2 linked regions of the Oryctolagus cuniculus genome follow. The protein of the gene in region 1 interacts with the protein of each later gene in a biochemical or structural test. Links are inferred from orthologs where the notes say so. Each region holds a gene or a part of one and is shown in the gene's direction. Other genes may lie near its edges.

Region 1 (3,665 bases):
TATACTTTATGGTTATAATATGATTACCATAAGGGCAAAAATAAATATGGATGTTGACTGTTAATGTTGTTTTAAGATCACTCTGAGAAATTGTGTTTTGTTAACTAATTGATTGAGTATAAAATTGAAGTGAGGCCTGAAGATCACTACAGAAAACTACATTCATCCTTTTCTGATTTTGATTCTGAACATCTTAAACTACATTTAACTTCAATGTTCACAAAGTGATACCTGTGGTTGAATCATGAACTCCAATTTTTATTTTTTGAAGCTTTCTGATTATTTATGTCTTAAGTTGTTGAGAGAGTGAAACAGTGAAAGGAGCGCTGTCTCCCTTTTAAGTAAAGGAAATAGAATAATGAACTGACAGTTAACTTAACCTTTATTGGTTTTGGCTTTGTGGTGGTGGTGGTATATATTTAAGAATTTAACCTCAAAAAGGCTTTAGTTCTTTTTCTAAGATAAGTTTTAAGTTATTGTTACCCATCTGTGTGTATTTCAGGCTCTCCCTTTGTGAATGCAATTATCCATAAAGGCTTTGATGAAAGGCACGCGTACATAGGTGGCATGTTTGGAGCTGGGATTTATTTTGCTGAAAACTCTTCCAAAAGCAATCAGTATGTATATGGAATTGGAGGAGGTACTGGGTGTCCAGTTCACAAAGACAGATCTTGTTATATTTGCCACAGGTAAGAGAATATTTGTTCTCATTTATTTTGATAAAAATCAGAAAAGAACTAGTTACATATTTGAGAAATTTGGGGACCAGGTAATATTTTGGACAGCTAGTAATCCAAGATACATATATTTTAGGTTGCATTTGGATCTCATTAGCTATAGTAACTAATATTTATTATATGACCTTTATGGAAAACACTTCTTACTTAATGTAATTAACTCACTTAATCATTAGAATACCTAGTGCTTCAAAGGATGCTAAATTGGAGGTGGACAACTGGTGCAGTGGTTAAGGAACTGCTTGGAATGCCCACGTCCCATATGGGAATACCTGGATTAAAGTCCTGACTCCAGTTCTGATGTCAGCTTCCTTGCTCATGTGCACCTCGGGAGGCAGCAGGTGATGACTCAAGTACATGGGTCTCTGCCACCCACTTGGGAGACCCAGATTGAGCTCCTGGCTCCTGACTTCAGCCTGGCCCAGCCCCAGCTGTTGCAGGCATTTAGAGTGTGAACCAGCAAATGAAATATCTCTATTTCTCTACCATTCAAAATGAAATTAATTAAATTTTTTTAAATGCTGAATAAAAAAATAACATTGAGGCCAGCACTGCAGCTCACTAGGCTAATCCTCCGCCTTGCGGCGCCGGCACACCGGGTTCTAGTCCCGGTCAGGGCGCCGGATTCTGTCCCGGTTGCCCCTCTTCCAGGCCAGCTCTCTGCTGTGGCCCGGGAGTGCAGTGGAGGATGGCCCAAGTGCTTGGGCCCTGCACCCCATGGGAGACCAGGAGAAGTACCTGGCTCCTGCCATCAGATCAGCGCGGTGCGGCGGCCATTGGAGGGTGAACCAACGGCAAAGGAAGCCCTTTCTCCCTGTCTCTCTCTCACTATCCACTCTGCTTGTCAAAAAAAAAAAAAAAATTGAGGGGCTGGCACTGTGGAATAGCGGGTAAAGCTGTCATATGTAGCACCGGCATCCCAAATTGGGCACCAGTTTGAGCCCTGACTGCCCCAGTTCTGATCCAGCTCCCTGCTAATGCACCTGAGAAAGCAGCAGCAGATGGCCCAAGTCCTTGGGCCCCTGCACCCATGTGGGAGACCCAGAAGAAGCTCCTGGCTCCTGACTTCACTCTGGCCTAGACCTGGCCACTGTGGCCATTTTGGGAAGTGGACCAGCAAATGGAAGATATTTCTCTCTCTCTCTCTCTCTCTTTCTCTCTCTTTCTCTTTCTCTCTCTCACTCACTCACTCACTCACTCTACCTTTCAAGTAAATTAAATAAATCTTAAAAAAGAAAGAAAGAAAAAGATAATACTGAGCATGAGAGAGATTTTATTGTAGCCCTTGAATGCTATAGGACTGTGAGTTAAGACGTTAGAATTCAGGAGTGGGCATTTGGCCTGGCAGAAGTTAAGACACCAGTTAAGATAAGTACGTTGCACGTCATAGTAACTGGGTTTAGTTCCTGTTCTGGCTCCTTTGTCCATCTTCCCAGCAATGCAGACCCTGGGAGGCAGTGGTGATGGCTCATGTTAGTGGGTTCGTTACATCCATATGGGAGTCCCAGATTGAGTTCCTGCCTGAGTCCCCAGGCCCAAGTCCCAGCTGGTACAGGCCTTTGGAGAATAAATCAGTATATGGGATTCTCTTGCTCTCTCTTACATATATAAACATAATTATATTTTATCTATCTATATGTATGTATGTATTAAATGTAATTTTAAAGCAAGAGACAAGTGAAATCTCCCCTCTGCTGGTTCATCCCCTAAATGCCCACAACAACCAAGGCTGAAGCAGGCCAAAGCCAGGGATCAGGTACTCAGTCTAGATGTCCCATATGGATGGTAGGAACCAACCACTTGAGCCTCCCAGGTGGGCGTTTTCAAGAAATTGGTTCTGGAGCTGAGCTAGGACTCAGACCCAAGCACTCCAGTATGGCATGTAGGCATTCCAAGTAGCATCTTAACCACTGTGCCAAAAGCCTGCCCCTGCCCCTCAAGTATATTTTGAAGATGGAAGCAACTTAGTTGGATAAATGTCCAGTTTTGCAAGCCACCACTTAGAAACCCCTTGAATTGTTCCTTGTTCCCTCTTGGCCTATGATTTTTATGTTTTTGCTGGAATTACAAATAAGATCTTAAAAGTCTGAATCTCTATAATGTCATTACATTTTTCAGGTTTTGTAGTTAAAAGATTAAATCAATAAGGGTAGTAGAAGACATTCTTACAAAGTTCTTTTAAGAGTAGAAAGGTATAAATAATTATAAATGTTACATATGAATACATTGTAAAGCTATGAGTATACACAAATAATAACTCGTATTTACATGTCAGATTTGTCTTCAAGCTGATCTTTTCCTTTCTCTACCATAGACAGCTGCTCTTTTGCCGAGTAACCTTGGGAAAGTCTTTCCTGCAGTTTAGTGCAATGAAAATGGCACATTCTCCTCCAGGTCACCACTCAGTCACTGGTCGACCCAGTGTCAATGGCCTAGCCTTAGCCGAATATGTTATTTACAGAGGAGAGCAGGTAACACTTTTTTTTTTTTTTTTTTTTTGCCTGTATTTAAAAATAGTATCCGGCCACATTTTAAATTCTTTCTAATCTCTTAAATTGGCAAAGTACATTGCCTTAAGACCTGCATTTTTTGAATGTTTATGTGGAAATAATTTCAGACTTGAAAAGTTTTGAAAATAGTAGAGAATTCCTTTTTGCCCTTTACCTAATTTTCCAAATCTTAATATTTTATTCTCTCCCTTTCCTCTGTCATCCTCTCTCACTCACACCCTCCTTCTCCATGTGTATATATGAGCATATTATTTTTTGTGAACTGTTTGAGAGTAAGTTACAGGCATGTCTCTTTGTCCTTAAATTGTACTTGAGTTGAGTGTGTATTTCCTAAAAACAAGAACATCTAAAATTACCAAAATCAGAAAAATACCTTTGATATTACTGTATGTATTCTGCAGACTGTATTCATATTTTT
Region 2 (3,680 bases), on another chromosome or scaffold:
TCAGATGTGTGTTTTCTTGCTACGTGGATAGGATGGTATAGCATAGTAGGTGAGAACAGTTAACAATCAGATGCCAACCTTTAGTACTTGTTAGCTGCCTAACTGGAGGACAGTTACATAACTTCAGTTTCTTTGTCTGTAAAAAGGAAATGGGTCATAAACGCCTAGTCCATAGTATTGTCAGGGATTTAGAACAATATCTAGTACATAGTATCAATATAATACCAACTGGTTATATTAATTACCAGTTACTAATATTAATTAATAAGAGTGTGTTCTTTTTAAAAAATTATTTGAGAGACAGAAAGCTCCCCTCTGCCAGTTTGCTCCCCAAATGACTGCAACAGTTCAGGCTGGGCCAGCACTGAAGCCAGAAGCCAGAACACAATCCAGGTCTCCCTCGTAGGTGTCAAGGACCCAATCACTTGAGCCATCACTGCCGCCTGCCAGCATCTGTGTTGTCAGGAAACGCAGGTTAAGAGCGACACATAAAATCCAGGTGCTGCTGTGGGTCACGATGTCTTCACTGCTAGAGTCAGCGCCTGCCCCAGGAAGAGCACCTTCTGAAGTGTATCTTCATTGTCAGATCATTCAAACAGCTCAGCTTTTTAGGAGTATTAACGTAATACACCTGCCTGCTCAAATCAAATAAGGTGTTTACCAAAAAAAAAAAGTCTCCAGAATGGTAATAAATTCCATCAACATTTTTTAAAAAGATTTATTTATTTATTTGAGAGGCAGAGGCAGAGAGAGAGAGAAGTCTTCCACCTACTGGTTCACTCCCCAAATGGCTGCAATGGCTAGAACTGTGCTGATTCGAAGCCAGGAGTCAGGAGCTTCTTCTGGGTCACCCACATGGGTGCAGGGGCCCAAGGACTTGAGCCATCTTCTACTGCTTTTCCAGACCCTAGCAATGAGCTGGAATTGGAGCAGCTGGGACTCAAATCGGCACCCATATGGGATGCCAGCACTGCAGGCGGCAGCTTTACCTGTTACACTACAGCGCCGGCCCTTCTGTCTATTTTTTCCCCAAATATCCTTGGATCAAAAGCTGTTGTTGTTTGTCAGCATTTGTAAACACCTTTCATTAAAATAAAAAAATCACCAGTGAAGAGTCTTAGACTACTCAACATTTACTTTACTTGAATTACTCTAGAACTTTAATCGGGAAACCAATCCTAACTTAGGTTCAGGTGTTGCTCTTTGTGAATAATTGTTTTGGAGGCTGGATCTGTTTTGCTCTTCAGGTTGATGAAGACTAGCCTTGATGGAGATATCATCCGAACACAAAAGCTGTCGTTTATCATCCGAACAGTGGGCCGGCATTTTCCTGGACACTTGTTGGCGTGGGATTTTGTCAAAGAGAACTGGAATGAGCTTGTACAGAAGTAAGTTTGTCAGCGAATTACTGACGTTCAGCGTTCTCCAGTGGTGTTCCTAGAAGTAGTTCCCAGTGTTGTGTTGGTTCGTGGGAGTTAGGACTTGCTGTGACAGACAGATGCTTCTGTGACTGTTTAACTGAAACATCCAGAAGTGTTCACGTTTGTCAACACAGTCCCATTGTGTGAGTCATGTGACCCTAGTGTTGTGCGAAAGTCCTGGTCCTGCCCAGCCACGGCTGATGCCGGGTCCGCTCAGCTCAGTGTGGCTACAGGCCCTTGTGGGTTGAAAATACCTCATTTCCTAGGCGTCAGTTAAGAGCTCACACCCAGCTAGACAGCACATGTCAGTTTCTTCCTTTGTGTCTTTTAAAGCGACAGTAGGCCAGCGCCGCGGCTCACTAGGCTAATCCTCCACCTAACGGTGCCGGCACACTGGGTTCTAGTCCCGGTCGGGGCGCCGGATTCTTTCCCGGTTGCCCCTCTTCCAGGCCTGCTCTCTGCTGTGGCCCAGGAGTGCAGTGGAGGATGGCCCGAGTCCTTGGGCCCTGCACCCCATGGGAGACCAGGATAAGCACCTGGCTCCTGCCTTCAGATCAGCGCGGTGCGCAGGCTGCAGCGCACCAGCCGAGGCAGCCATTGGAGGGTGAACCAACAGCAAAAAAGGAAGACCTTTCTCTCTGTCTCTCTCTCTCACTATCCACTCTGTCTGTCAATAAATAAATAAATAAATAAAGCCACAGTGACATTTCTGGGAGTGTGATCTGATCTGTCAGGAGATGAAATGGATTAGTGACTTCTCTGGATATCCTGAGCTCCTCCCTTTTTCTGCCCACCACTGACTCCCTGGACTGCAGTCCCAGGATAGGCTCCATTCTCTGGCAGGAAGGCATCTCCTTTGTGCTTTGCTTGCCCAGCAACTGTCTCAATTTTTTAACTCTTGTCTTTGTGTTTCTTCAGGTTCCACCTGGGCTCCTATACCATACAAAGTATTGTTGCAGGATCAACTCACCTGTTTTCAACAAAGGCCCATTTGTCTGAGGTGGGTTCTATAAAATGTGTGGAGGGGGCTGGGTAGCCATGTCCCCCAGGCTGCGCAGTTTGTTTGAGAGGGTGACCTTTAGTGGGAATTCCTGCCTTCTCTGCTGGCCTCATCAGGGTTAATGATTCTGCACCTAGATTACTTCTACATGGTAAGGAGGAAAACTTGGATGCTGCTCTCAGCAATATAAATAATTTAAGTGGTCATAAAACTGTTTTTGGAGAATCCAATTGAAAGGTGAATTTATAGAGCCAAGCCTAACTTCAGACTCTATTTATTGTTACTAGATAGGTTTTTCTTATTATTTATTTGAAAGAGAGAGAGAGAAGCTTTCATTTGGTGATTCACTCTCTAAACAGCTTGAACGGCCAGAGCTGGGCCAGGCCAAAGCCAGGAGCCAAGAACTCATTCCCACGTGAGTGACAGGGACCCAGGTGCTTGATCTCGCCCCTGCCGCCTCTCAGGTTCCTCATAAGCAGGAAGCTGGAATCAGAAGTGGAACCACAGCCCAAACCCAGGCACTCCAGTATAGGATGCAGGCATCCCGAGTAGCGTCTTAACTGCTGCACCAAATGCCTGCCCCCCCCCTTTTTCTATTTTAAGTTAGAAAAATTCATTCTTGTGCAGATAAGGAGAATTCAGAATTCCGTGTGGGTCCTTGAGGTAACAAGTTTCTTTCTGCTGTTTTCAAGATACCAGCATAGCCATCACTAACTTGACGCTTGCTTGAAAAGGACAATAAACCTCTTAAATTCTCTTCCACGTCTCTGTGGAACTTACAGGTGCAGGCATTCTTTGAGAATCAGTCGGAGGCAACCTTCCAGCTCCGTTGTGTCCGGGAGGCTTTGGAGATCATCCAGTTGAACATCCAGTGGGTGAAGAAGAACCTCCAGACTCTGCGGTGGTGGCTGTAGCATGCGCAGCCCCTCATTTTGTCACCCGTTTGGAGAGCTTGTGAACTTGGGCTCTGCTGCTTTTGCAAAAGCCACGGTGAAGCCAGGCCCGCTGCCAAGTTGTTTGCACTGTTAGGAGTTGTAGTTAGCTCAGGGCCCGACTGTGTTTCTCATCTGTCTTTTCTAAAGTGTCTTTGGGCAGTGTGTAGTTATTTATTACAAATGTACGTTCACCTATATGCCAACTGTCTACAAAAATGATGAGTAATTTTTCTACTTTGAAGATACACAAATGAGAGGGGAAACATCAGTTTGGAAATTCTGTTCTGTGTCTCAGTATCCAGAAAGGTTCTGACGCAGTGAAAC

What was found. The genes of interacting proteins can lie anywhere in the genome.
Region 2: the proteins of TNKS2 (region 1) and LNPEP form a complex in vitro, tested with the Homo sapiens proteins (4 studies listed by BioGRID and IntAct, with this or other methods). The link is inferred for Oryctolagus cuniculus from reciprocal best matches to the Homo sapiens genes TNKS2 and LNPEP.

Annotation. Positions count from the first base shown.
Region 1 is NC_091446.1:38,638,903-38,642,567, reverse strand, and holds part of TNKS2 (poly [ADP-ribose] polymerase tankyrase-2), read left to right. Parts: intron 1-502; coding exon 503-689; intron 690-3,051; coding exon 3,052-3,208; intron 3,209-3,665. UniProt on the Homo sapiens protein: Poly-ADP-ribosyltransferase involved in various processes such as Wnt signaling pathway, telomere length and vesicle trafficking.
Region 2 is NC_091445.1:19,698,706-19,702,385, forward strand, and holds part of LNPEP (leucyl-cystinyl aminopeptidase), read left to right. Parts: intron 1-1,247; coding exon 1,248-1,388; intron 1,389-2,339; coding exon 2,340-2,421; intron 2,422-3,203; coding exon 3,204-3,335; 3' UTR 3,336-3,680. UniProt on the Homo sapiens protein: Release of an N-terminal amino acid, cleaves before cysteine, leucine as well as other amino acids. Degrades peptide hormones such as oxytocin, vasopressin and angiotensin III, and plays a role in maintaining homeostasis during pregnancy.